2 linked regions of the Mus musculus genome follow. The protein of the gene in region 1 purifies or fractionates together with the protein of each later gene. This does not show direct contact. Links are inferred from orthologs where the notes say so. Each region holds a gene or a part of one and is shown on either strand. Other genes may lie near its edges. The genes, in order: Faf2 and Ubac2.

Region 1 (15,293 bases):
AAGAAAAAAAAAAAAAACCAAACAAACCCCAGGTGTAAGACTGAGGACCCGGGCTGGTGAGATGGCTCAGTGGGTAAGAGCACCCGACTGCTCTTCCGAAGGTCCATAGTTCAAATCCCAGCAACCACATGGTGGCTCACAACCATCCTTAACGAGATCTGACTCCCTCTTCTGGAGTGTCTGAAGACAGCTACAATGTACTTACATATAATAAATAAATAAATCTTTAAAAAAAAAAAAAAAGACTGAGGACCCTTCCACCCTCAGAGTTTGTCCTGCAAACACCCCCAGTTAGCGAAATCCCACAGTGGGAAACTTGAAGTACCATTATCAGTGAGCGCCACAATTAAATATGCACAGTCCCTCAGTTCCCTAGTGAGAGCCTTAAACCTTTAAAGGAGACAGGAGACTGCACAGCCCAGCACTTTTGCAGGTAGAAGCAAGTGAGTTTAAGGACAGACTAGTCTACATAGTGAGTTCCAGGATAGACAGGGCTGTGCCTTAGAAAAAAAGGAAAAAAAAAAAATTCACACAAGCTAGTCCTCGGAATTATGGACTTTCCCCTTTGAGATGCCATCCTCAGGTAAAGTCTTACTTGTTTATTTGAGGGTCTCATATGTAGCTCACAGTGGCCCACCCACCCATTCTGCCTCTCCCAAGGTTGAGATCAAAGTCACGCAACAGCATGGGGTAACTACAACTAGCAAAGCTAAACAACACTTATTCAGAAATAACCATAGTTTCAGCAACGCTGCAAGTTAGTGTACAGAATATTTCCCTTTGAGTTAATTTTAAGTGGTCTGCTAACCTGGTATCCCATTACCCCAAAAGACTTTAAGTAACCTCAAAATCAGAAGATTTAACCAATACATTACAAAATTAACTCCACCTATCCTTCAATACCATGGAGGTTTCAGGATCCCTCCCCCAAGCCAAAATCCTCAGACATTCAGCTGTAACTCATGCAGTCTCCTGTCGCCTTAAAATGGTTTAGAGTACTCACACTGGTGAACTGACAGGACTATGAACATTTAATTATGGTGCACACCAATGACGCACTTCAGGTGGGACCAGGTTTTCTCTACCTTGAGGTGTTTGTTAGGGATGTACTCTGAAAGTATGGGGGGGAGGTTAAGGATCCTCAAGTCTTTTAAACTTGTTTTTTATTTTTTTTAAAGATTTATTAATTTATTTTATGTATGAGTCCACTGTCCGCTGTCTCAGAAGAAGGCATCAGATCCCATTTCAGATGGTTGTTAGCCACCATGTGGTTGCTGGGATTTGAACTCAGGACCTCTGGAAGAGCAGTCAGTGCTTTTGACCACTGAGCCATCTCTCCAGCATCACTTGTTTTTGTATTAATGGAGGCTCCACTTCCTGTTTTATCCAATAGGCTTTATGCTATGCCAACAGCTACTCTAATAATGCTCACACCATCTTAGACGGGCTAGCTTCTGAGCCTTGTGCACATGTCCCCATCCCTCTGGGAACAAGCCTTGCTTCCTGACAAGCTGTCCTAGGTTTCTAGCCTAATGCTCTCTTTCTCCTGGTCCAGCCTCAGAAGCAGCCATTTCCAAGGACAGCTGTTTAAAGATTTGCGGTTTTATGTTTTTGAGACAGGGTTTCTGTGCAGCTCTGGCTGTCCTGGAACACAGAGACCGTCCTGTTTCTGTCCCCCAGCCTCTGAGTATTGAGATGGAAGGCAGCCCTCCACATACTCAGTGGTTCATTCTCTTCCATCTTTGTACTGTAGCAGGGGAGTGGGGGAAGCAGGGGGTGGGGGTCACTGCAGAGGTGTCACTCCTAAGATTATATGTGAAGGCAGAGTTCACAGGGCAGCACAGGTTTTCAAGAACACTAAATTGTTTGCTACATGTTACTCTCAGGGAATGTTTAATTCCAGGCCAGCATGGAATTAACCTGTGTGTCTGTCTCCTTTAAATGTCATTCTCCTTGCCAAGCTATTTTTCCAGCGAAGCATTTCTTAAGTTTTTATTTATAAGGCCATCCAGATGTCTTAGCAGTAAAAGCCCTTGCTGCTCTCAGGGCTAAATTTCAGCTTTCAGCACTGTTGAGCAATTCACAATTATATGCGCGTGTACACACACACACACACACACACACACACATACACAAAGTAAGCCTTTACAAAAAGAGTGGCTAGGGCTAGAAAGACAAACCAGTGCTAAGAGCACTACTTGCTCTTCCTGGGGACCTGGACTGTTCTCAGCACCCACATGGCAGCTCACATGTTTGTAAGCTCTGTTCCAGGGGCTCTGACACCCTCTTCTGAGTCTGCAGACACTACAAGCACGCAGGATACAGACATTATTCCTGTAGGCCAAACCCTTACATACAGAAAATAAAGATGAAAATGTCTTTTAAAAAAATAAAGATGGGCCAGGCAGTGGTTGCACAGGCCTTAATCCCAGCACTTGGGAGGCAGAGGCAGGTGGATTTCTGAGTTTGAGGCCAGCCTGGTCTACAAAGTGAGTTCCAGGACAGCCAGGGCTACACAGAGAAACCCTGTCTGGAAAAACCAAACCAAAATAAAACAAAACAAAAAACAAAAAAATAAAAATAAAAAAAGGAAGAGGGGCTTGACAGACAGTTTAATAACCCACATGGAACCCACATGGCAGGTTACAACTCTCTGCTACTCCAGTTCATCTCCTGGCCTCCACAGTGGAGACTAGATGAACAGGCAGAGAGAATACATGTGAAATACAAGGGAAGTGCTGGGGAGAGAGGACAGGAGGATCCCTGGGACCTGAGAGCAAATCAGTGTAGTACAACAGCGGCCCCAGGTCCCAGGAAAGAAAGAGTGTCTCAGAAAATAAGGAAGAGATCTTGAGAAGAAAACATCTGAGGTTGACCTCTGACTTCTATATGCAACACACACACACAAATTTTAAAACAAACAAATGAAAAGCCTAAGGGTTCTTGCTGGGTTTCACATATAGAAACTTTTCCTCTGAGTACTGAATGGGTAGAAACTTCAGAAAACTGCAGAGGAAATGATGAGTGGATCTGTAAGATTTATGTGCAAAGTGGGGCATGGTGGCACATGCCTTTAGTCCCAGCTCCAGAGGCAGAGGCAGGTGATCTCTAAGTCCAAGGGCCAGCCTGGTTTGCAGAGCAAATTCCAGGCCAGCCAGGGCTACACGGATAAACTCATCTTAAACCCTCAGCTGTCCCCTCAAAGATCTACATGTACCTGTAGTTAGTGAACAAGGGGAATCAACATCTGGTGAGTGACCGTGTACTACACAGCAGGTACTCTGGGAGACACAGTTACGGTACCCAATTAAAAAGTCCAGGGTAGGGGCTGGAGAGATGGCTCAGTGTTTAAGAGCACTGACTGCTTTTCCAGAGGTCCTGAGTTCAATTCCCAGCACCCACCTGGTGGCTCACAAACCCCTGTAACAGTAGTCTCATTTAACTCTCATAGTGGCTCACAACCACCCGTAACAGTCGTCTCATTTAACTCTATGGAATGTGATACCCTTCTCTCCTGTGCAGATGCACACGCAGCTGAATAGGAGACCCTGAATTCCATCCCCAACACTGGAAATTAGAACCCAAAAAGCAGCTGGTTGTGGTGGCGCATGCTGGTAGGATTTGCTGAAGGAGGCAAAGGCGCAGGAGGATCACGAGTTTGAGGACAGCCTGGGCTACACATTTTGCCAGGCAGTGGTGGCCCATGCCTTTAATTCCAGCACTTGGGAGGCAGAGGCAGGCGATTTCTGAGTTTGAGGCCAGCCTGGTCTATAGAGTGAGTTCCAGAACAGCCAGGACTGCACAGAGAAACCCTGTCTCAAAAAGACAAAAAAAAATACCCAAACACAAAACAAAAACAAAACCCCAAAACCCAACCCAAAGAGCAGGTGTGAGCCTTGTTCTCAGTGTCATCGGCTTCGTTCCCAGCCACGCCTCCTCTTCACTCTGTGCTAGGTCTTTTCATCTTACCTTGTGTGCTTCCTGCACATGGTGTAGTTCAGAACACGGTTAGAGGGGTGGGAAGGAGGCCTCTGTCCAGCCTGAAGGTTCCATCCCAGGGACCCACACAGAGGAAGGGAAGCAACGGCCTCCCGTGGTTTGTCCTCCCCTCTGCATGCACACATCTACAGCCCAAATCACAGCATCATGTGGCTTAAGTGATCCTTACTGTTAGAGACTGTGAGAAGTGGAATCGTCTCTCTACTCTGGAATCATTGGGTAACTTGAAAATGATCTTGACACTTTCAGGATCATCAGGGGAGGGCTCAGGGGGCAGGCATTCCAGCTTCCTCTCCTTTTCCTCCTGCAAGTTCTAGAGACACAAAGCACAGGTAAGGATGTGGCTCAAACAGAGATAAAGAAACCAGAATATAGAGGCCATGAATGTTTACTGAAAATTCATCAACAATTTTTGAAAAGAAACCCTCCTGAGGCCAACAGGATAGCTCAGGAGGTAATGGTGTGTGGGCTCTGAAGGTACAATCGAAAGACAGCCTGAGCTCCACCCTCCCCTAAGGTTGTCTTCTGACCTTCATAGAGTACCACATGTGGCATGGTGTTATGTGTGGATCAATGCTCTCACAGCTCATACACATATAATGGATAAATAAACTCTCCTTTATTCGCTGGTTAAGGCAGGGTCTCATTAAATATCCCTGGCTGGCCTAAAACTTGATATGAAGATCAGGCTGACATCAAACTGAGAAACTGGCCTCAATCCTGCCTCTGCCTTCTGAGTGACAGGGTTAAAGGGCTGCACCACTACATCTGGCTGGACAAAAATTTAAAAACAATAACCCCTCAAAAAAAAAAACACACACACACATACACACACAAAAATCCCAAACCCAAAACCAACCTTCTTGGTAACAAAGAAGGAACAAATCTACTGCACACACATGCACGCACGCACGCATGCACTGCTAGTACATGCAGGCACTGAGCACTGGGGAAAGGGTGTGCCCTGGCGGGAAGCAAGCAGCAATAGGAAAGACAAGGAACAACTGTGTGGCTCACCTGTCGTCTTCGCTCCTCCGCCAGCTTCTGTTGCTGCACCTCCTCCTCCTTCCGGCGTTTCCGCTCTTTCTCCTCCCTCTTCTTCCTCTCTTTCTCCTGATCTGCCCTGAGAGAAGCCAGGTAGGCTTCATCCTGCTGTTGTCTCAGCACCTGGGTTTGGTTCCTTTCTTCCCTGTGGATGGAAACCAACTCCAAATTTCACATTGTTCTCCCAGCCCAGCTTTCTCCTGCTGCTCCCTGCTCCCTCTCCAGGATAGACTGCAGGGCCAAGTGCAAGCTGGCCAAGAGCAGTTCCTGACTGCTCCCACTTCCCTTGTCTTGAGATCCTCCTGCTTCAGCCTTTCAAGTACCAAGATTAGAGAAATGTCCACCACGCCCAGCTCCTGGCTTCTATTTTATTAAATAATCTATTTCTTAATGTGATAAGTATCCTGGTTGTTGCTATTTACTTGTGAATTTGACACAAGTGGACACGCTGTTACCTGAGAAGAGAGAACCACAGCTGAGAGAAGAATCCCTGGCCTTCCTTTGGGAAGCCTATTGGGCACTTTCTTAATTAGTGATTCATGTGGGAGGGCCCAATCTACCGTGGGCAGTGCTATCCCCTAGGCAGGTGGTGAGCAAGGAGGAGCAACCCAATTAGCAGCAAATAAATGGCTTTGCTTCTGCTTCACTTAGTTCATGACCTGACTTCTCTCAGGACTGTTCTGACTAGTTTTTTGTTTTTCGAGACAGGGTTTCTCTGTGTAGCCCTGTCTGTCCTGGAACTCACTCTGTAGACCAGGCTGGACTCGAACTCAGAAATCTGCCTGCCTCTTCCTCCCAAGTGCTGGGATTAAAGGCGTGAGCCAGCACCGCCCGGCCTGACTAGTTTTTATGTCAATTTGACACAAGATAGTCTTCTGACAGGAAGAACCCTAATCAGGAAATGTCTCTATAAGATCAGGCTGTAAGCAAGCCTGTAGGGCATTGTATTAATTCATAACTGATGTGGGAGGGCCCAGCTCATTGTGGGTGGGGCCATCCCTGGCCTGGTGGTCTTGGGTTGTATAAGAAAGCAGGCTCAAAAAGCAGGTAGGCAGCACTCCTTCATGGCCTCTGCATCAGCTCCTGCCTTCAGGTTCCTGCCCTGTTTTGAGTTCCTGCCCTGACTGCCTTGGATGACGATGATACAGAACTGTAAGAAAATAAGCCCTTTCCTACACAGCTTGCTTTAGGTCCTGGTGACTTATCCCAGCAAGAGAAACCTTGACTAGGACACAGGGTCTTATATATCTCAAGGTGGTCTCGAAACTCACTATGTAGCCAAGGATGACCTTGAACTTCTGATCTGTTCCCCAACTGTTAGGAACTCAAGTGCACTTCCTGTCTATTTTCTCTTCTACTGAAGACAACGGCATTCTGAAGCAGAGCACAGCAAACTCCTGTGGAATTTGGGATCAAAGTCTGGGCAGGCCTTTGTAGCAGGTACTGCTAGCCACTGAGCTATCTCATGACCTGCACTTACTGTCTGACAATCTCATGCATTTAGATAATGGACTTTAGTCATTTTCAACTCCAATCCACTCTCATCCCCTTCATTCCTCCTGACTCTGTCCTTCCATATGTGGCCTGTGGCAGAGGGTAGTTGGGCGTTATTTACAGAAACAAGGCAACTACTCCCCACTGATGGCCAATAGTCCCTCAGGGAGGGGCGGGGGCTTTGAGTGTGGTGACTCGCTCATCCTCTGCCTTACTCTCCTTCTGCTCCTCTTCCCTGACACCCCTGAGCCCCGAGGCAGGGCCACAGCTGTCCCACTCAGAGCCAAGCACTCCAGCACCTCAGTGGTCCACACTGAGGTCAGACAGAGGCCAGCATGTTTCCTTCTACATTTACTTATTCAAATGTACATGGTACTGAAGAAGGAGTAAGCGTGCCGCACAACATGTGGAGGGCAGTACTCTCCTCCTACCTGAAATTAAGTGTGATCTTGCTGGTTGGTCCTCAATCTTTAAAAAAAAGTTATTCTTATTTTTAAAATTGGTGTGTTTGTGAGTGAGAGGAAAGAATCGGAGAAAGATAGAGAGAGAGAGAATGAGAATATATATATATACATATATGCACACACACACATATACTCAGGTGCCCATGAAGGAGTTGGATCTCCCAGAGCTGGAATTATGAACTGCCCATCTTTAGTGCTGGGAACTGAGCTGGGGTCCTTTGGATCCTAACCGCTGAGCCATCCCCAGCTCCCCACGTTGTATTTAAGGCAGTTTCTCAGTGACCCTGCAGCCTGCTCACTGACTAGCCTGACTGACCTGCAGAGCTCGGGACCCTCCTGTCTCTGCTCTGCTCAGTGTGGCAGCTGCTCCTAGCTTTCATGGGGGTGCTGTGGAGCAAAGCTCAGGTCTTAGCTCCCACAGAAAGCCCCCATGGACAGCCATCTCCTTGCTACCCTGGAGTGGCTGCTTATGTGTGCACCATGCTCCTGCAATGACATCTGGATGAGATCCCAGAGGAACAGAACTCAAACAACTTCCCGAGAGTTGAAACAAGTGAAGCTAACTAAGTGCTAACCAAGTCTACTAAACTGTCTGAGCCCAGTCATCAGAGCACAAGCTGTGGCGTCTTGGTCTGCAGTTCTAAAACCACACGTAAAGCAGTGCAGGGTGAAAGCAGTGAAGGTGAGCGACAGCCTTGGGCTTGAGCTCCCACCCAGTGGGATCTGATGCTGCCTCAGGGGCAGAGGTTGGAACAGAACTGATAAACTAGACACCTAGCTGTTGTCCACTGCTACACAACTGATCTGCTTGGTGTGTGGAAAAAACCACCTATACATCTGGTGCCAAATGTGATCTGTGTTGAGTATGACAAGGTAAATGGGCCTTTTGTTTGTTTTCTGTTATTATCTTCAGAGTAAGCAGAGAGTGTGCACAAGTGACTACAAATCTAGAAGCACCCTAAAATTATGAATGCTTTAAAATTTCTTCTTTGACTTTACCATTTCAATTTTTCTGTAACTACTGTACATAATCCATGTAATGAGAAAAGCTATAATCAGTCCACCTTCTTCGCATTAAGTTCTATGTTCAGCATTCCAAGCTATTCTTTTGTTTGTTTGTTTTTTCGAGGCAGGGTTTCTCTGTGTAGCCCTGGCTGTTCTGGAACTCACTCTGTAGACCAGGCTGGCCTCGAACTCAGAAATCGCCTGCCTCTGCCTCCCAAGTGCTGGGATTAAAGGTGTGTGCCGCCACCACCGCCCGGCCCAAGCTATTCTTCAACATGAAGCAAAGGCTTTTAAAGTGCCCAAGACACAGGAAAGAAGTCTGTGGAGCCCCAAGTCAGTCCGTTTTCCAAGCACACATCTCCAGTACCTTTCTAGACGTTCTGACACCAGGTAAGTCTGGTTTGCATCCATGATGAATGTCAGCTGGTTGATGAGGTCATCAGGTTGAATGAGGCCTTCTAGCCTTCCAACCACAGTCATTCGCCGATCCTTCAACATAATCATAGCTAGGAATGGATAGGTGTTCTCCCGTAAGGCCTGGGACACTGACACAAAGACCCAAGAGATCAAGCGTAAGAGTTGGGAGGAAACACATCAGTCCTTAGACTTTGCACACACTGATGGAAATACCCTCAGAGATTTATTTCTGTCTCCTGTGCGTCAGCACTTGTCTCCATGCACACGTGCATCACATGCATGCATGGTGCCCAGGAAGACTGGAGGAGGCTCAGATTCCCTGCATCTGAGTTACAGACAGCTGTGAGCCGCCAAGCGGGTCCTCTGGAAAAGCAGCCCATGCCCTTCGTCACCGAGCCATCTCTCCAGCCCCTCTGCTGTATTTTTTCCTCTAAAGATGAGTGCAGAGATTAGAAGACAGCTTTCTAGAGTTGGTTCTCTCTTTCCCCTGTGTTTGATAACCAAACTCAAATTCCATCTCATAAGCCCTGCCTGGTCTCTTCATTGTTTTCTGTCACGTTTGTATTCCTAAACTGAGGCGAGTGCTTAGACCAGGGTGAGGCTTCTTGGTAAGCTGCTGTTATGCTGAAAAGGTAACAAGGTTCTAGGATAATGTCTACTGAACGGAAGGAAAAGGCACTATAAAGAGCCATGTTACACTTAAGTATAATTTCTCCAGATGTTAAGAGTCAAAGCCACTGGGGACAAGGCTGAAATTCTCAGCTGCATGCTGGTGGCTATGGTTTTACAGCGCATACACTTCCTGTCTTTTCCTCCTCATCCAATTCCTTCCACCCCTCATTTTCTTCCCTTAACAATGTTAGCTTTCTGCTCCAAGTAAGAAAGTTGTTCTGTAAATAAACAAATTTTACTATGATGTAATTGCATCTATGTTCTTTTTTTTTTTTAATTTATTTATTATTGTATGTGTGAGTATACTGTTGCTGTCTTCAGACACACCAGAAGAGGGCATCAGATCCCATTACAGATGGTTGTGAGCCACCATGTGGTTGCTGGGAATTGAACTCAGGACCTATAGAATAAATGCTGAGCCATCTCTCCAGACCCCTGCATCCTATGTTATAAAGAAAGAAATTTTATAACTCTTTACAAAAAGTATCCTTTGTGTAATCTACCTGCTAGCCCCACAGAGCCACATTAGAATGGCAAAACACAGGCTGCAGGAATATAGCCCATGTTTACAAATCAATTAGGAGTAAAGATTAAGAACTAAGGTGCAAGAGAAACAGCTACATTGTATTATATTTAGTTCTGAACACCAGGCACCCAATGCCTAGGTGTTAGCATATACAGAGGTTGCTGGACAAAGAGGCTACAAAATGACTGTATTCTCACCACTGGGATCTTTGTATCTTCTGATGATTTCTAAAAACACTGACTAAGAGTTGCTGCCAGAAAGACTGAACTCCCTGCATTGGCTGTCTGCGCTCTAGCACTCAACAGAAGACTCATTAACCAGAGTTCTGCTGAAAGCCTGGATAGAGAAGACAAATGCCTAGCAAAAGCCTGTTAAAATTAGAACTGAGCTGCTGGGCAGGACTGACTGAAAATCAGAGTCTCTGGCAATGGTTAGCTGTAAAGAATGGGCCTTAAACTTGCTCTGCTCAAACACAACCGTACGCTGACTGTATGCTCTTGGATCTGTCTTAATGTCTCTGTTGTTGTTTCATTAATCTCAAAGAAGAATTAATACAACCTTTATCTCTCAGACTGTTGACAAAGTTAAATGACAGAAAGTAAAAACTGCAACTAGCATTATGTCTATCAGAGAACCACCACCCAGGAATGCAACAGCATGCTTTTCCAGACTTCCCCAAGGATACTCTAACCTTCTCAGTAAGGCAGAGGAACACGACTTACCCCTGTACCCCTCAGGCTTGTTTGTAGAACAAGCCCAGAAAAGCATCCTGCTGTTTATCAGTGAGATGACCTCAGGTGCGCAGAGAGCATTGCTGTGGAACAAGATAAAACATTGTGAGAGCAATTTGCCAACTATAAACCATCAGCAAAAAAGTCAGAGAAGAAAGAAAATGACTCATCTACTTACCGGCAGAACTCATCAGAGTCCTGGTGGTCATCTCCATGAAGATAAACCAAAAGAAATCGAAGTTCCCGCTTGGCATCGTTAAGTGCCTTAGAGAGACAAAAGATCATGACTTACTACTACTAAGGTCTGGAACTACTATTTAGGCTAAGGGTTCAGATGAACATAACTTTTAATCAACATTAGCAACTAGAAAGAGGGGAGGGAAGTGGGGTTGAAGGGGAAGCAAGAAACTAAGTACTTCCCAGGCTTCTACCTTTACATCTATCCCTGGCATCTTTCTCCTTATAAAGCCCAAGCCAACAACTTTAACGCAAAGCCTTTCGTGCTGTTAGAATTTACGCTGCATCGGGCACATGAGGATGTAAGAAGTGACTCAAATAATTCCTGACAGTCACAGAAAGTCAGCTGTTCTCATGGTTTAAAGGTAAAGCAGGACACTGTGACTATGTAAAAGCAATTTTGCAGCTTCAAAATTCTTGCTAATAAAAAATTAGCTGCAAAGATGAGTGGGATCCAGCAAGAACACAGGCAAGCAGGAAGCACTAGGGCACCCAAAGGTTTCCTAAAGAGCACAGGGTTCAGAAGATCTGAGACAAAGCAAGTGTCTTGTCACGAATCTTGTCACGTATGAATGGTATACTCCTGACTAACTGCCTGTAATTCCCTGCATTGCTAATGTAGTCTACCCTCAAGATCACGCAAAGAACTGCTGTCTCCCTCACCCTCACTCTCTGCGGCCCCAAGCAGGGGATCTAACTGTGTACAGCAGGTAGGTGTGTGATGTTTGCGAGTGGGGAGCAGCAGCCAGCATGAAGATCAACTGTGAGACAAAGCAGAAGCAAGAGTGAGCTGCCCCCTCTCCAGATAAGAATCAGGAATTCCAGATACTCCACAACAGAGCCACCTTTTAACACATGTCTGTGCTGCTCTTTATTGTTCTCTGGCAAACTACATATGCCTAAAATCCAGCTTTCCTCCCTAAAAGGAGAAAATGAAAGGTCTTTGTGGCTTGGTTTGAATCAAATGAGCTGCCTTGAGCCTATGGTCTAAATCCTATTCAGTTTGTAAGAGATCAAAACAAATTCTGCTCTTGCCTTGAAGGTGTGTACAGTCTGATAACACAGCAAAGACATGAACACAAATCATGTAAGGAGGAATGTAAAATTGCTATAAATTTAAGAACAGAAGGATGGAAAACAAAAAAGAAGGAAGGTCAGTACTTTAGAAAGCAAGGTAGGGTGCGATAGGGAAGGAATGGAGTGGCCAGAACAGCCCGAGCTGGTGTGAAGGACGGGTGCGGAAGGCAAGGCACCCGTTAGCCAAAATGATAGAGGACACTCCTTGTGGGAGGAGCAGCAAGAGCAGGCACTGAGGGGAAGTGTTCGGGGAGGGGTGCGGTGGGAATCTAGGGAATGGAAACAAGCTATGCAGAAAGGACATCACAAGAACGGGGCTAGACCAGGAGGCTAGAGAAAAGGCTTGGTCCTGCCTCTGTTTACATTTCTCTAACCAGTGAGGAACTAGTTAAGTCTTTTGTGAGTGTAAGAGCAACATGATCACAGCTAAGCTACACTTTCCTTTGAGGACAGAATCATATTGGTACGTTGGCATCTATTTGGTTCGTGGCACTGACCTGGCTGTACGTTCCCTGGTAGAAGACAGGGTGTGCCCTCCCATATTTCTCTTCAAAAGAGTGCATAAATGAAACAATGTCCCCAACAGGGTCAGTGACCCGGCTGCGAGGGTCAGGCCGTATAAAACGAAGAGCAAACCTGGGGAGGAAGGAATAAATATCACATGAATTGGCTTACTGTAGCGCATATGGAGTGGGCCAGTTTGTACAGACTTTTCTAACAGAGCCAGAGGGTGGTAGCAGGGGAAGTGAGTGGTGAGTGAGTGGCCATTAACCCTCAAGGGAGAGTTGAGGACACTGCCAAGTGTCCGCTCTCTGCTCAAGAAGACTGCACACCACTAGACAGCGACATTCCAGTGCAGGGCTGACCAAGAAAGATCCAAACCCCAGACACTGTCTAACGTGGCAGCGACTAACTATTTATGGCTGTTTTAAATGCGTTAAATTAAACACAATTACAATTCAGTGCCTGAGCCACACCTACCATGTCTCAAGTGCTCAACAGACGTATGTGGTCAGTGATTTGCACACCAAATAATGCAGACAAAGAACGTGTCTTAATCAAAAAATAAGAAAAGAAAGAAAGAAAAGGTGCAATGACAAACACTGCTGCAGAATAGACGACCCCTTGCTGCATCTCCTCCTCCCAGCATCCCCTGCTTTATGTTCTTCTGGGATTCTGACTGTTCAGCTCCTACTCTCAAGTTACTCAAGTATCAACAGGGGCTTCACTTCAAACCTGGACTTAGTCACAATGTATTTGTTCTTCAAAGGGGCGTGTATATTTGCTTGATATGTTTACAGTGATGGCATCCATGGGAGGAGTCATAAAGCTGACCAAGATGTGGAACACTGGTGGCTACTTTAGACCTAAGGATGCAGTGTCTCATGGGTCCATACACTATCCCTAAAGAGCCTACGCTACCATGCCGTATCACACCCATTCTTACACTCTGGGTGTCCATACACGGTTATGAGGCAAAGGGGGATGTTTTACATACACTTCACAGGAAGTTGCCTAGATGACAACATTGCATTACAATTAGTAAAACATGCCATGCATATTTTCCCAAGGAAAGCAAACAATGTTCAATTTTTAGTATAGAAAAAGGTGAGTGAACTCTGATAACTTTCTTTACCAGTTCTTAAGCCTATTCTCTCTCCTCCCCCCGCCCCTCCCTTTTTTAGTTTTTGAGACAGGGTTTCTCTTTGTAACAGCCCTAGCTGTCCTGCAACTCTCTCTGTGTAGACCAGACTGGCCTCAACGAACTCACAGAGATCTGACTGCCTCTGTCTTCCTAGTGCTGGAATTAAAGGTGTATGCCATGATGCCTGTTAGTTCGAGGCCAGCCTGGTTGAGAGAGCAAACTGCAGTTACAGCAAGGGCTACACAAGAGAAACCACGTCTCAAGAAACTGAACCAAACACATTGCCCACGAGTATTTTTCCTAAGTCATCAAACCAAATTCATCAATATGAACAATCCAAGAAAATGAAAGACATAATAAAGCTCTGTATATAGGGAAGTAGTTCTAAGTGCTTCAGAAGGCCGGTACTTCGACTTATTTCTCTGAAAAGATTATTTAACGGCTGTCTGAGTATCCAAATTCTAGGAAGAGGCAAAGACTTGAAGTCCACTGTTTCTTACTACAATGTATCTCAACAGCCAACATAGTCTAAGCCATACATGTCAACTCAGTTTTCACTGTGATTTTTGAAAATTGTGTAGTTCCACATACCCATTCCTGAATAAAACAGAAATGGAAAAACTACAACTCAGGTAGACATTAAAGAAGTTTGCAATGAGCCAGGTAATATGGTGCATGCCTTTAATTCTAGCACTTGGGAGGCAGAGGCAGGCGAATTTCTGAATTCAAGGCCAGCCTAGTCTATAGAGTGAGTTCCAGGACAGCCAGGGCTATACAGAGAAACCCTGTCTTGAAAAAAAAAAAATGTTTGCAATGGCCAGCACTGGAGAGGCAAGGGCAGTGGATCTCTAAGTTTGAGGCCTGCCTAGTCTACAGAGTGAGTTCCAGGACAGTCAGAGCTACACAGAGAAAAATAAATTAAAAAACAAAAACAACCCCCCCAATCAACCAAATAAATAAACCATAAACAGACCCAACTCAAAACAAAACAACAAACTTTGCTACAGGAAGGATGCCACTGAGCGGGAGATGAAGGAGAAGCTATTATCCAGTCCCTGGTAATAGTTGGGTCCATATTCCAGCACTGGAATCCGGAAGGGGCACTCTGTGAACGTTCTTTTAGCTCATCGCTGGCCTGGACGTCATGCTCTCCTACTCCCACTCTCCCCACCCTGTCCAAACTCAACTCCTCTTGCCTCATTCTCAAGAGGATTACAGACTGATGCTACCACACCCAGCCTCCAATAGACATTTCAGCTTTTAGCAAAGCCCAGGCGGGCATTGCTCTCGCTCATATTCTATGCTAAGCCTGATCTGCCGGCAAGTCAGGTTATACTCAACATTTCCTAGCTCTGGACACTAACTTGCAAAGGTAAGTTATTTGAATGGTACACAAAGGAAGCTAGATGGTGAAGGTATGAAACAAGTGGGTGCATGTACGAAAGGGTTCCAGTGTTGGTAACCTAAGCATCGCCAGGGCAGAGGGAAATGTACAAAACACTGCCTAGAAAGATGCCAACAATCTATAGCTAAGTAGGTATAGTCTTGAGCGAGAAAATCTACTGGGATTGTGCATAGTCAGAGGAGAAGTGGTTTGGGACAAAAGTTCCTGGAGTATGAAATCAGGAGACAGATAAGGTGGTTAGAAAGGAAAGGGCATGGGGATTCCCTTGGGAATGTAGCAGTGACAAACATGGTGTGGGGAGGAGAAGACCAATAAATAAACACAGGCAGATCCATGTGGTTTTACACACAACAGCCAGGACCAAAGTGAAGCCGATCATAACACCTTCCACTAGGCAACAATTTACAACATTTTTTCCTACAGTAAAAGAAAGTGCAGGAAGAGTAATCTGACAAGTAGGCTACTCAAAAATGATTGAGCGTCAAGCTTACTCTAACCTAAGTTTCAGCCTCAAAGCCTACCTTGTTGTTAGAAGCATATAAACAGAGGTACATACCTAAATATATCAAGTATCGTG
Region 2 (15,258 bases), on another chromosome or scaffold:
TCCTAGTCACAGCTGGCAAAACCCAGGGTAGATGCTGGTATGCTCTGTAGGCAGGTTTACTACCAAGTGTCTTCCTTTCATTGAGGGCCAGAGTCAGACTGTATGCCGGTGGGATCCTGTTTTCTATCTGAAAGCAGGGGTGGGTTGTGAGGAGTGAGCAAATACCATTTGTGTTTGTGGGTGTGTGTGCAAGTATTTTTAAACAAAGCCAGAACTGAAGAGTAGAGTGGAGAAGGCAGGTTTTAGGCAGGAACTGTTGTAATAGGAGAAGCGGGGCTTTGCCACAGATTTCTTTTTCAGTGTCAAGATTGAACATAGCTTTTCGTACGCTAGGCAAGTGTACACCACTAAGCCGTATCCACAGTCCCCCCTGTCAGTGGAGCTAGCCTCTGTTATAACACACCATGGGCAAGTGGAGGTCAGTTAACAAAGAGCGGGTGTGTGGAAGGCACTTACCAGAACTGAAACATGGAGTCAGGAGTTCTTTCTACTTCTAGGATTCCTGCTGAAGATGGACAAAGGTGATGAGACATGGAGGCGAAGAATCTGACCACATACTGAGGGTAATCAGACAGATATCATGAGGGGGGGGTCTTTCAGTGGGGTACAGATAAGAGCTTCAGGTTCAAATAGAGGATGAATTTGGTCAGATGAGGGAAAAGAGGATACGTAATCGAACAGTCCCAAGGAGAGTGGTCCTGCCCACCAGCACCTTAACTCTAGCCCTGTGAGGTAGCTTACCCTCTAAGTGATCACTTCTGCTCCAGTGTGACAATTGTGGATAACTGCCCTCATCTGGGGTGGGGATGGGGTGTCTGGCTGGCTGCCTTGTTCTCCTTAGACTCTAAGGAGACTGAAAAAGCTCATGAATTTATCACGAGTCAGTGAATCCTGGTGTTTTAAAACGACAAACGTGTCCAACTGTACTTCACTGTACTTCACTGACAGTTCACTCAGAACAAGATGACTCAGTTCCAGGCCTTCAGCTTTGAAGGGAGATATTAGACAGGCCCTCCTCCAGTGATTAGCATGCCATCCTGCAGAGGTGATCAAGTAAATGAGACAGACACACAGACAAAGGCAGAGATGCCAGGCCTCCATACTGCATTACAGGTTTTAAAAACAGCTGCCAAGAATCTTTTTCAAGGTCACCAGACCCCCTCTTCTGTCTCCTTCTCCATGTGACCTCAATGAATCAATCACTTCACCGTATGTTTAAATGATGTGTTGGGATAGGTGGCCTGCTAGGCTGCCAGAATCCAAGTTTTGTTTTAAAAACTGGTCCCATCACATCCTTGCCCAGCCTCTAGAAGTAGTTGCTAAGAGACAGTGTAGCAGGCCCAGGGTGCTGCAAGACCTTGGTGGTCTGACCGTGGCTCCCACTCTGTAGGTCTCCTGCAGCTACTACATGAAGCACCATGAACTGGGTGGCCTAAGACACTTCCATATTTCTAGGAGCTGGAACCTAAAGCCATGATGTGGGTTGTCTGCTAGAAGAATCTCTTGGCCATTTGTATTAAGGTAGCATGTCAGTTCCATGCTTCAAGATGTGGGTGGGTGCCTCTGTTCCTCCCAGTCTGTGGGAGCCTGGAAAAGTGTGTTTTATCTTTTGTAGTTAATTAACATTAATTTTAAAAGATTTAATTATGAGTGTTTTGCTTGCATGCATGAATGTGCACCATGTGCATGCCTAATGCCCAGGGAAGATGAAGAAAGCATAGGACCCCCTGGAACTGGAGTTACAGAGTTGTGAACTACTATGTGGGCCTGGGAACCAAACCCGTGTCCTCTGCAAGAGCAGCAAATGCTCTTAACCACTGAGCTATCTCTCCACCCAAAATTGCATTTTTAAATGTCTAAGGCCCATGATACCCACAGTAACTGGATCCTGACACATACATACTGTATTGTCTCTCGTGACTGACTCTGAAATGGGATAGACAACATAAAGTGGCTGGCCCTAGGGAATTGTGTGCCCTCTGAGAAGGGGTGTGTGTGTGTGTGTGTGTGTATGCATGTGTGTATGTGTCCCTAGGGAATGGTGAGCCCTCTAGGAAGGTGTGTGTGTGTACATGTGTATGTATGCATATGTGTGTGTGTCCCTAGGGAATGGTGAGTCCTTTAGGAAGGTGTGTGTGCATGTGTATGTATGCATGTGTGTATGTGTGTGTCCCTAGGGAATGGTGAGCCCTTTAGGAAGGTGTGTATACATGTGTGTGTGTCATACACATGCTCTGTGTGCACCCACATGTACGCTGATAAGACTTCTCTGGATTGGCAGCATATATTGATGAACGTTCTGTGGAGAAAGTGCTGAAAACCCTGGTTTTCTACTAACTCTTATCCAGAGAGAGGTGAACAGATGTCTATGCACACCATCAAGGACACCAGTGACAGAACAAAGATGCAATTCCACCCAAGTCTAGCCTGGTGAGCCAGGGAGTTTATTGGGCTTATTCACACCATCACAAAAGCTCCACTCAGACCTTGGTGGTAACCTCCTGGAAGCTGCATAGGAGACTGCCCTTTTAGTTATATTGCTCCTACAGAGGCCACAGGAAGCTGGGAGTACCTGGAATCTCACATGGGAGTATGATGTCCCCCACCACATATACCCCTCCCCCAATGGAACTTCTGCATGCCTGATCTATAGAGAAACTGCCCTTGTTCACAGCCATAAGGATAGAGTCTGTGAGCAAGCTGAATGTACAGGAGGTGGGCAAGGGCTCCTTGGCACAAAAGAGCCCTTGCCTGTGAAGCAAGCCTTTCAAAAACAAACATCTGGCCGGGTGTGGTGGCACACGCCTTTAATCCCAGTACTTGGGAGGCGGAGGCAGGCAGATTTCTGAATTCGAGGCCAGCCTGGTCTACAAAGTGAGTTCCAGGACAGCCAGGGCTATACAGAGAAACCCTGTCTCGAACCCCCCCCCCCAAAAAAAAACCAACCAAACATCTGTAAAATAAAGGGGAAAGGAAGTAGCTTGTGGGTGGGTACTTGTCTTTGTCAGTGCTCTATCGCTTTGAAGAGACACCATGATCACTGCAACTCTTGTAAAAGAAAGCATTTTATTGGAGGCTGGTTTACAGTTTCAGAAGTGTAGTCCATTATCATCATAGTGGGGAGCATGGTAACAGGCATGGCAGGCTTGGTGCAGGAGAAGTAGTTGAAAGCTACATCCTGATACACAGGCAGAGAGAGAGAGAGAGAGAGAGAGAGAGAGAGAGACAGAGAGAGAGAGAGACAGAGAGAGAGAGAGACAGAGAGAGAGAGAGACAGAGAGAGAGAGAGACAGAGAGAGACAGACAGAGATACAGACAGAGAGAGAGACAGACAGAGAGACAGCAGACAGACAGGGTCTGCCATGATTTTGGAAACCTCAAAGCCCACCCCCAGTGACACACTTCCTCCAACAAGGATACACCTCCTAATCCTTCCAATCATTTCAAACTGTGCCACTCCCTAATGGCTAAACATTAAAATATATGTGCCTATGTGGCCATTCTTATTCAAACCAGCACAGGAGACAATCTATGTTTGGTGGAGTCCTGGAAGGTACCTCCTGCCTCCATCTGGACTCTTCAGGTTTGCTGGGAACATGTGACTGGGGTCATATTTTGGAATTTTTTTTATCCTCAAAATGAGATCCTAGCTTATCAGCACTTCTAGATATTGCAAAGCTATCACGAGTAATACAGTGTTTAAGAAAGGAGTTTGGTACCTAGAAGATGCCTCTGTGGGCAAAGGTGTTTGCAGGAATCCCATAAAGACAGGAGGAGAGAATCACCCTTCAAAGTCATCCTTAGACTTCCCCACCCACGCGGCGGCACGCACTCATCCATAACTGCATACACAAGCAGCACACGTACACACATACAAATGATAATTATGTCCTAAAAAATAAGACACGAGCGTAAGAAAGACCAGGTTTCTCACCCCTGGGGACAGAAGGGGGAAGAAGGCTCCTTAAGGCCATGATGTCTCAAGCCATTCAATCTAGAGGGTCTGGGGGTGGGGGTGGAGAGGGAGCAGTGTAGCCGCAGCCTAGCTGGAACTGGCCTGGAAGGTTGTGGCTACCTCCTTTCCAACCCAGAGCCTGGGGCCACTGTGGAGCACTGAATGACTTTGCCATAGCAGGATCCTTACTTCAGAAACCTGTTACGGCTTCAATGTGTAGGAGCTGTGATCCCGAGAGCCTTGTAGGGTGACCATATCTAGAGATGCAGACTCTAAAGAGCTAAGTTCTAATTCAATGACTAATGTCTTTGTAAGATCTGGGCGTGGACAGGTGTGGAGGGAGGCCACGTGAAAGCACAGAAAAACGCCATCTTCAGGAGGAACCAGGCCTGTGAGCAACTTGATCTGAGCTATGCAGTTTTTGGGACTGTGAAGAAACTGATTCATGTGCTGGAAGCCCTCTGTGCTCCCATACAACAGTTTGACAGACAGACAGGCAAACAGACAGACTGCCTTTGCAAATGCTTTGCATTCTCCTTTGCTGTGGTAGGGGTTAAACCCAGGCCTTGTGCATGATAGATCAGTACTCTGCCACTGACCTCAATCTATGCCCATTCCCTTCTGCATTGTGTGTGCATATGTGCATGTACGCATGTGTGTGCTATGCATATGTGGATGTGGATCCACAAGGAGGCACACATGTATGCAGATGTGTAACTCTTGACTAGGGGTGACATGTACTGGAGACTGAACTTTTGGTGTCCTCTAGGTACCCAAAATGCAAGGCTAGCTGCGCCCAGAGCTGCAGAGAATCTGTTCTCCAGTGCTTTAGAGTTTGGGGCCTCCAGGCCAAGTCTATGCCCTACATTTCTAGACTGAGTTGCTTCTGGAGCCTTGAGCTGATTTTATGCTTGCTCATCAGTGCTGTTCTGCAGAAGTCTGTCACCCTTATCTCATTTTATCCTCTCATTGCTAGTATTCTCTTAATTTGGGTACATGTGGGGACATGATAAAACCAGTGGTAACCACAGTCCTTTCCACAGACTCACATGCATGCCTGCTGTGGCAGAGGCTGTAAATCAGACAGTCTGGAGAGGCACAAGGGACTGGGGTCAAGTTCTTGAAAACACTCAGCTCCCTTGTGAAGAGGTTCTGATCTCTACCAGGCAGGAGGGCTGAAGGGGGCCTTCTCTGGATGGGACATCAAAAGATGGAGTCAAGGTACCCTCAGCAAGCCACTGGTGGCTTTGGATGCAGCCTTCATCTGTACAACGAGGACATTAGTCAACACGATCTTTGATATTCCTCTCAGCTCAAGAACTGGGTGAACTGTGAGTGAAAGAGCCGTAAGTGTGTCAGAGATCGGCTTCCCTGTGAAGCTGTTCGTCTGGCTTTCTATATCTTCGATGGCTTTCTTTTTGATGCTGTGTGGGTGACCTGGCCAGTCCCCTACATAGTCAGTTACTGGTATCCCTCTAGGGAAACTCTCATCTAGGAATACAGACAGAGGCTAGTGGTGGGACCAGGGGCCACACAATGTTAAACACTAAACCCAGAGAAGGAAGGGAGATCCAGCCAGGGAGTATATGGCCTTGGATAGTGTCCTGTTCAGTTGCTAGGATCAAATATCTTGCACTCTCTGGGTGGGGACTCTTCCTGGCCCCTTAGCATGTGTAGTGGAAGAAGCTTGTAGCAGCTTTGACTCTCAGAGCTGGTGCTTTGCCCGAACAACTCTCACTGGAGATGTTTCTCCTGACTGTCTCAGCCTAGGCAATGTTTCCACTTTCTTGGCCACTGTAGCTCCCATGAGAATTCTCTTAGGTAGCCTCACTTGCCAATATGGAAGAACTGATAAGGCCTGAAAGTGGCCTGTGGCTTCTGAGCTGGTCCAGGCAGCTGGTTCTCTGTATGTCAGGTCTCACCAAGAGATGGCTGGGACTGTGCCCAAGTCTCACAGACTCACAAGTGCCTATGGCTTTGAAATGAAATAATTTGGTTATTATGAAAGTTGATGGATAAAGAATGAAGAAGGTGGGAAATACACCTTGCTTAGCATGTCTGATGCTATGTGTTTGATTCCGAACACTGAAAAAGAAAGAGGGGAAGGAGGGTGCTTTCCCTAGGAACTGAGCCGAATGTTGGCAAATGACTCCCCAAACCACCAAAGCTGTCATCAGAACAGGAGTGTAACAGCTAGAAGGGCTCGATAGGGCGGGGTGGAAAACTAGAAGGATTACACCCAACCCCCATGGCTGCATTTTGATAATGAAATCCCAGCTGCATCTCAGTGTCGATCTGTGGTGTAGACTGAATGCTCACCCTGCAGTCCGTCGCTCAAGAGGCTGAAGTAAAAGAATTGCTGGGATTTCGAGGCCAGCTTGGGTTACATAGCAAGGTCCTGTCTTTAGAGGAAAACAGGACGACTCGGGGGTGGGGAAGCAGCTCAGTTGGGGGAGAGCTTGCACAGTGCACACAGCTCTGGGACCAAATAAACACAATGTGATGGTGCACAGCTGTGACCCAATCAATCACTAGGGAGGTGGAGGCAGAAGTTCAAGGTCATCCTTGGCTATATAGTGAATTTGAGGCCAGCCTGGGCTACTTGAGGGCCAACCAAACAAGCCAAAATAAAATACCCACACAAACCTGTACCAATAACTAAAGACATGGGATTTTAAAGATGCAAAGAGTATACACTTCTACAATACTATATATAAATTCACCACCAGTGTACAGCCTGAGTTGTGAGAGCTTCTAATACAGGAAAATCTTTCCAAAGAGTGGTGGTGATGGGTGGGAAGGGTAATCTGCTAGCGTTCTTTGGTACCTCCGGAGACAGAGGGAGGGCTCCTTCCTGGTCTCTCTGGCAAATGAGTACTTACTTCCATTTCTCTTCTCACCTGTTCTGGTCCCTGCTTAAGGACAGGGCTGTTATCTTCTCTTCCTCCCAGTTCTGAGATGATCCTATTCTGCAAGCCCCACTTCCTGGCTTTCTTCACATCCCAGCTCTTGCCCTCAGGAACCTGCCACCACCATGCTGCCCTACCTTGCTTGTGTCCTTCCTTTGGCCCTCAGATCTCCCTACCTCCCCGACAGGGACTGCCCTCTGCTGACTCCAGCCTCCTGAGAGCTCCTAGTGCTGGGATGCTAACCCCTATCACACAGCCCAGCTCTCCAGCCTCACCTCTTCCCAGGCTGACAATCTGTATCTCGGGGGCATTTTCTCCTAGATATGCAACTCTGTAGCCCAGACCACCGTCTGCTAGCTGTGTGAAATGTGTAAAACATTCTCAGTGCCACCGGGAGGCGTTGACAGTTTGTGTTCAGTTTGCCTCAAGTGGTTGTTTGCTAACCCTATGCTGTCTGATTCAACTGCATCTCGGGGGCAGGGTGTCCTTAGGTATGGTGACAGTTCACTTTCATTGTTGACTCTGTGCATTTAGAATCATGGAAACACCTCTGGCTGGGTGTACCTCATGCTCCTGTAGTCATGTCCCCCACTCCTCCCACTGTGAGCCAGAGCTCCTCCCACTGTGAGCTGTTTTTGACAGGTTATTTTGTCAACAGCAACAAGTTAACCTGGTCACAGAAGGACGAATTCACTCACTATGGACAACTTTTCTCCACTCCTTTCCCATTCTGGTCTGGACCTGCTGTTCTGAAAACCAAGGCTAACCTGTTAGCATCTGCATAAAGCCCTCAGCGTAGAAGCTTGTCTACACCCTACCAAGCCATCACACTTACAGAGAGCCCTTGCCCTCTTGAACCCAGGCTTGAACTCCAGACAAGGAGTCCATACAGCGGTACTGGGTGGGTCTTAGAGTGCCTCACTTTACACTCCTACCTCCAGGAGCAGTGTCCCTTGGCCCCGTCAGTGAAGGAAGCTGGTCACCGTGCTCACACTGGGCCTGCAGGGCAGCTCCAACCCTGTTCAGGGCCCCAGTCAGCACTGCCCACGGTGACCGCACTGCGGCAAAAGAAGGGAGTGCTCACTGTGCAGGCCTCGGCCTTCTCAAGACGTTGTCTGGGTTCATTTTTCTTTTTGGTGGAATTGCCTAAAGTTTTATTTGGAGAAGTATAAAAACTACTGAAAAGTAAAACACATAAAAACTTTATTGTAAGTATCACACACCTAGATTTGCATCAATTTGACACATTGCTGCTCACTGTGCAGAATACACCCGGTGCAGTTTGCTTACGGGACAGTCGTCAATTCCTACAGCTGCTCTTGCTCACAGGGGCTGCCTCCTGCTTACACCTCCCTGACTGTCTGCACAGTGGGCACTGCCTCACCCACTACAAGGGGCAAGGATGGGGCCAGGGAAGGTGTGCTGCCAGAAGGGCTGGTGGTGTATGGAGGGCTGCAGGCTGGCCCAGGGTGGGCAGGCCGGGGCTGAGCCATTGCTGGCCAGCGCCTGCTCTCTGCACAGCCCCACTAAGTCTCTGAAGCAACTTTTTTCTTTATTCCAATTCACTCCTTTGCCCAAGTGGCCACTGTAATGCATTCTGAGCAAAATGACCCCAGGTAGGCATCACGGGGCATTCTAGAACCTCACACCAGCACTGGATTATCTGTACTGAAAGCAGGAGTTGGGGCAGACTCTAGGCTGGAGGAGGCTCATCTCCAGCTCCCTCTGTCACTGAGATGTGAATACAAACTGAAGAGAAAAAAAACCCAGTCCATACAGAGTAGTGTGACACAGCCTTTCTGAGGTCACATGGCCTGCCGCCCTTCCCTGACGTGAGGATGAGCAGACTGCACTCGAGCTTCAGGACAGTTGTCTCTCTCTGCGGTGCTATAAAACAGCCACCGAAACCTGTAACCGTCATGCATTTGAACACGTAAGAATGACGGCTCTCCACACTGAGAAATGCCCAGTAAAAAAATAAAGATAGAAAATACATGCTAATTTAATGGCAAACTTATTTGATACTACACGGCAACCATCTTGGATTTAAGGACAGTGTATGGTGGGAACCACCGTCTCCTCTTGAGAACACCTGTGCTGGGGTCTGCTTGGTCCTCAGGCTGATGTGGTGGCGGGCACATCACTGTCATACAGTGGCTGGATGTCAGTGCTGCAGCAGGAAGTTGGTGGCCACATTGAGGTCATTGTTTGAGGCCCTCAGGGCCTCCAAGGCGTCCCCTCTGGAAAATCCCATCTCCATGAGGCGGGCAACCTGCAAAGAGGGCAGAAAATGGAGGCTCAACAACACACAGCGTATCCTTAGCACCACATGTGCCTCACGTGGCTTTGTGGGAAAGCTCAAGCTTCTAAATTGACCCGAGTCAGTTCACGTCTACTCCCAAGTCAAGCCTGTAGTAAAAGAATAGGAAGTCTAGACCTGGCAGCACAAGCCTATGATCCCAGCACTTGGAAGGTAGAGGCAAGAGCGACAGGAGTCCAAGGTTATCCTGGGCAATAGAGGGACTTTTGAGTCTAGCCTGGGGCTACATGAGACCCTATCTCAAAATACAAAAAAAAAAAAAAAAAAAAAAAAAAAAAAAAAAAAAAAGAAGAGGGGAAGATGAGGCTCAGCTGGTAAAGTCATTTGCTTTGCAAGAGAGGGCCTGGGCTTAGTTCCCCAGCACCCCGTGTAAAATGCCAGGTACAGTGGACTATATTACAAGGATGATGACTGAGGTTGTCCTCTGGCTGACTCCTCTCTCTTCCCTTTCTGTCTCTCTGGAAAAAAAAAAAAATCAACAAAGATCCACTTCCCCCAACCAGCAAAGGTGACTCGTAGTAAACCTTTCCAGTGTTTTCTGTGCACAACTAGGAAATCTCACGTGACCTTTGCCGGCTTAGTTACATGTCTAGGTGCTCTGACAGAAAGTGACTTATGGGAGAGGTAAGGAGGCCACAGCGCAGTCAGCAGTGGAGTTGTGTGGCTGGGACTCTGCACCTCTTGGGTCCAGGAGACACCATGCTGGAGTCAATTGGCTTCTTCCTGTTTCCCTTTTTGTTCAGTCTGGGGACCCAGCCATGGGAGGTGGTGCTCATACCACAGTGGACTCTCTCCTCAGTTAAGTCTCTCTGGAAACATGCCTGAAGACACACTCAGAGAGGCCCTATTAATGCCCTAAATGTTTCTTAATTCAATCATGCTAATAACCAAAATTAGCTGCTACATAAAACACACAAGGAAACGGGGCTTCGAAGGCCCTGATGCAGTGGGGTGCACTGGGGCCAGGCTGTGAGAACTCCAGAGTAACAGCCACACTCTGTCTCATGGGATCTGGTGGGGAGGAGTTGGGACATCAGGTGCGCACATACAGGCCACCAAGTGCACACCTAGCGTCTTCAACTGTCACCAGTTAATTGCCCCTTAGACAGTGACCAGTCTTCCTACTACTCAGAGTACATTCATGAGGTTGTAAAACCAAGGTTTACAGAGCATCTCCAATACTGCTAGCTAGGCGTTAACACAGGAGACCGTGGTAGACATTTCGTATTCAAGCTAGAACATTCCACTCCTCTGGCTAGGGATGTGTCTCAGTTGGTAAAGTGCTTGCCTAGCATAGAAGACATAAGTTCCTTGTTCCTGGCATTGCTGCACACACTACCTGCTCAGGTGATGATACTGTGACTTAGCCAGACTCCTGCCTGCCTGTAGTGAAACACCACAGGGACAATGCCAAGCTCTGCTGCCAGCTCAAGCAGTAGCTGGACCTCCATGGACCACAGCATCAGTGACCTGGGAGATATCTTCTCAGGCATCCCTCCCCGTGTAAGCAGGACGCCTTGAGAGTGTTCTCAAGGTAAAGTCTTCTAAATGAGTGTACAGTTTTACATCCTACACTGCTGTGGGTTGGGTCTGGTTGGGTCTGGTCAGTTTTTGTCATGAATACTCTTGGCTGGCAACTTCACTACATCTGGAATTAATTAAGACTCAGATGGCTGGGCGCACCTGTGAGGACTTCACACTGAAATGATCTGAACGGGGAAGATCCACCTTTGATCTGAACCACCCTCTGCTGGCAGCCCATGCAAAGGATGTGGGAGAAGGAAGCTGGCTCTCTTTGTCTGCTTGCTTAAGAACAAGACTTGCTGCCAAGTCTACTCTTCACTCACATTAGCCTAGTTCTTCATTTCTTTGGTATTGGGGTCTATACTGGTCTTCACTGAAGATGAGAGAGATATCCAGCCTTGTGGACTAAGCAACTACTGGATTCTTGGACATTCAGTGGCAGACAGCCACTGTTAGATTAGCTGGACCATAGCCTATTAATAGGTTTTCCTTTCTACATAATTCATAAGTATGTGTGTGCATATATGCATACATATTCACATCTGTGTAAACATTCATACATACATGCATACATTTTATGAGTTCTGTTCCACTAGAGAACCCTGAAGAATACATATGCTCTCAGGGCATGTTTTTCGCTGTCCCAGTAAAAGTGCTCAGCTTCTTTGGAAATGCCACTGGTTACTTTAACAACCACTCCCTTTATGTCTACAACTTTCTACATTACGTTTTAGTTTTCAAATCCTGCTCAGCTTTGCATTCCCGATTCTCACGGAAAATATGGTGAGAAGCAGGCAGGAGAGGCTGTGCTCCAGCTTGGGTGCCATGTTATACTGAAATATCTCCACCAAATTAACTAGCTACTTTACAGTTAGCTTCAACATCCCAGGACTGGGACAAAGACAAATTCTTTGCCAAAATGTAACAAATTCCCCCTGGCCCAATTCAAGAGTAAACTCACAGCCTGGCCTTCACTGCACCCCTACTGGTATTCCGACCTTCTTTTCTCCTCCAGAATCACCCTGTAAGCTCTATCTACAGAATCTGAAGCTTTCTCTAGCTCAGTCTCCAAACTCTGCCCATAAACCAGCTCCATACACTTAGGATTTAGTCACAGCAGTGTCACTATTTTTAGTACCAAGTTAACGAGCTTTCTACAACTGTGGCCAGATCACCCAACAGAAAGAGCTTAGAGAAGGACAGGTTTACTGTGGCTCGTGGCTTAAAAGGATCAGCCCGTAGTTATTGTGCCCCCACGTGTTTGGACAGGACATCATGGTAGTGCAGTGTGGCAGGCAGGAGGCAGAGGATGACACCAGGAGGGACCAGGGACAAGACACCCAAGGCCCTGCTCTCCCCCCAGGGACAAGATATTCTAGGGCCTGCTCTGCCATAGGGATAAGACACCCTAGGACCTGATCTCCCAGTGATCTGCTCCTTCTGATTAGATCCTACTTCCTGAAGAAAGCCTACGAACAGTGCTATCAGCTAGGTAACTAAAGCTTTAATGCATGAGCTTGCACTAGAATTTCACATTAAACTGTTAACACTGTGTCTCTGGACCCCAATCCTTTCTCAGTTTGTGTCATCTGAAAACATGGTACCCAAGGCAGTGTGCAACTCCATGGGTGTGTGCTGGTAGGTGTGTGTGTGTTATATCTGCGCACATGGATATGAATATATACACACTTATGTAGAGAGCTATGACGTGTGAACTGGTTAGCAGGAGTCTGCTAAAAACTTGATAGTTTTCACCTGCCATACTCAGGAGAGTTCTCAAGTCCTACAGTGACCTTGTAGGTAAAAGGACGGCACATAGCTCTGCCTGTTTTCCAGCCAACTCAAAGGAGTTAGTTCTAAATGCCATCAATCATCCCTCTCAAACTTGTATCTCCCCTAAGTAGGCTTAGCAAACCTGCAAACTTCATTTGAATCATTACTGATGACAGTTTTTAGACACACCAGATCAAAGATAGAGCTCTGAGCCCATGAGAAAGTTCTCTCTGCTCAGTGGGTAATCAGCTTACCCAGTGAAAAGCCCAGGTCAGCTCAGTACTATTATCTACTCCATAGGCTGGTGCTCTGTCTCCACAGAGATGTAAATTCACAGATGTAAATTCAGTGACATCTTGTGTCAACAGGGCTATTTTGGTTTTCTCAGACTGCAAAGATTTTTCTGACATCTACAAGTCATGTGGTGCTAATCTGGTTTACATTGCCAGACACCAAAATACCAAACTTGCCATTTAATTTTTTGGAATTGCCTTTCTCCTTTCTGTTGGGACCATTTTACAGTGAGCATACTCTTACCCTTTACCCTTACCCTTTCAAGCTCCCATCAGCCTAAGTGTCAAGGGGTTGGGAGGTTTGCCAGACACAAATCATAAGGAGGGAAAAATCTGCCTGATGAAAGCAGTCTGACTAGTTATTTTCACCTTGGGTTCCAATCGTAAGGTGGCTCTCTGCAGTTATCCTGGCTGAGGAGCACTGTCTCTGGACCAGTCAGTAGTTGGACGGGTCCACTTCCTGCTGAGTGTTGCGTGTGAGCATATTTCAGGGTCTCCAGCCAGTCTGTCCCTTCCTATCCTTGCTGCCTCCCTGCACACTTCACGCAGAGTTGTAGCTCACTTTCATTTTGAGCCTGACCAGGAGCAGGTCTATATGCTGTCAACAGGCAGCAGTCTCAGGGACTGGTAAGTCATAGCTGGAGCTGAGAGCCAGCAGAGATGTCTGGCTACCACTGTAACAATGGTCCGTGATCTTTCCCTGCACTAATGACACGCGTGGGTTCCAGAAGACACAAGGACAGGTGGCACAGACCTCACTGGGCCCTCGGGTTTGGAATGGCCGAGTGGCCCTGAAGGCAAGGTCTGTCAGGAGCATGAACACCTTCTTTGTGCACAATCGCTGTGATCACTCCTTCTCAGACATGAATGACCACATGTCCACCACTGGCTTGACAATGAGTCAGGTCTTCACAGGTCTTCTCTGAAGAGTCTTCTATTGCTGAAAGTGAGCAACAGGTCTGGCACTTCAGCCACCCAGTGCCACTGGTCAGAGCTGGCTTCTATATTTATGTATTTTTCAGGGCTGAGAAGACAAGTGTGTGTTTACTGCTGACTGGCCTGGTATAGGCTTATCAGAGAGTCTGTGAAGGACCTGCCCTATGGAGCTATGGTAAAGGGAATGGTCGGGAATCCACCAGCTCCAATTTCCCACATAGCTGATGACCTTGTGTGTTACACAAGGACAATGTCTGGGACAATTTCTCCCCATCTAAAAGAGAGCCTGACATACACAGTAGCCCAAACTGAGGTTAGGCGGTCAGGCTCAGTGATGTGAGCTCCTTAAGGAAGTGGCTCAGTTTCCCAGCTGAGGCAGAGCCACCAGCAGGCCACAGAGCTGCATCCCATCATTACCAGATGCCAGGTTGACAGCAATTTGTATGGGAAACTTATGAAATGCCCCATGGAGTTTTCTAAAAAGCCGTTCCTTTAATCCTTGCTGCCCCCCCCCAGCCCACTGGGTACCTTCCTCCTGACCCACAGAGGGAACTGTCTAAACCACTGTGGAGTGTCAGCTTAGAGCACAGTGAGGCGTCCAGTCCAATGTCTAAGCCATCTTTTGCTCAGGTTTGCTTAGAATCCAACCATGGGTGATTACTGTCCCACGAGAGAGACTGTTCTGCTTGCTCTGCTCTGTCTGTCTGTCTGTCTAATTCTGAGACAAGGTTTCATAGCATAGCCCTGGCTGTATTAAACTATGTAGTCCAAGCAGGCTTCAAACTTGTGGCAATCCTTGTACCTCAGCCTCCTGAGTTCTGGGGTTACAGGTACCAGAGAAAACACCAGCTCCTTTGTAGTCTTTCACAACTATTTATTCAGTCATTAAAGTTCCCCAAGTGGAATATCCAATGGTTCTTTTCTGTGGCCGAAGTGAGGGCCTGAGACCACAGAATCTACAGGGCACCAGGGGGAGCCTCCCTCTTTCTTCCTCCCTGGGTTGGGTGTGCATTTGTGCTAGTGTCCAGTCCTCTCCCACCATGGGAGCCAGCCGACTAACTCAGTCAGCTGCCTTTCATCACGGCCCACCATAGGCGTCAGGAGCCTTACTCAGCCTCCTGTGACATGGTGAATGAAGCCAGTGGCTGGCTGACCAGAGGAAGGGAACATGGATGGAAAGAGACACGGTCACTGTCAGCTGACAACAGGTGGACTGTACTTTTCCCTCCCATGTGTTCTTCAAAAAACAGACCACACCTCGAGGGAGGAAACCGGCACACAGAGACACAGTTCTTTCCTCGTTTTCCTCGTTTTTAAATACTTTTTTTAAGTATCTCTGATGACCTGTACACTTCTACCTGCCTCGAGGTAACTTTCACTCCAAGAAGCTAGCAAAATGGCGCCTTTGTTCTCCACTCCTGACTCACCTCCCCTGTGCTACACATCAAAGACAGACACTCATCCCAAGGATTCGCAGCGGCACCTTCAGTGACAACTGCTGCTTTGCTCAACAAAGACTGTGGTTTCTTTAACTTCCCTCTAGTTACG

The links.
Region 2: the proteins of Faf2 (region 1) and Ubac2 purify together in Homo sapiens (affinity purification with western blotting; 7 studies listed by BioGRID and IntAct, with this or other methods). This does not show direct contact. The link is inferred for Mus musculus from reciprocal best matches to the Homo sapiens genes FAF2 and UBAC2.

The regions. Positions count from the first base shown.
Region 1 is NC_000079.6:54,645,301-54,660,593, reverse strand, and holds part of Faf2 (FAS-associated factor 2), read right to left. Parts: coding exon 15,273-15,293; intron 12,303-15,272; coding exon 12,164-12,302; intron 10,617-12,163; coding exon 10,531-10,616; intron 10,436-10,530; coding exon 10,344-10,435; intron 8,552-10,343; coding exon 8,374-8,551; intron 5,189-8,373; coding exon 5,017-5,188; intron 4,313-5,016; coding exon 4,169-4,312; intron 1-4,168. UniProt on the Homo sapiens protein: Plays an important role in endoplasmic reticulum-associated degradation (ERAD) that mediates ubiquitin-dependent degradation of misfolded endoplasmic reticulum proteins.
Region 2 is NC_000080.6:122,013,828-122,029,085, reverse strand, and holds the end of Ubac2 (ubiquitin-associated domain-containing protein 2 precursor), read right to left. Parts: intron 9,137-15,258; coding exon 9,029-9,136; 3' UTR 8,051-9,028; downstream 1-8,050. UniProt on the Homo sapiens protein: Restricts trafficking of FAF2 from the endoplasmic reticulum to lipid droplets.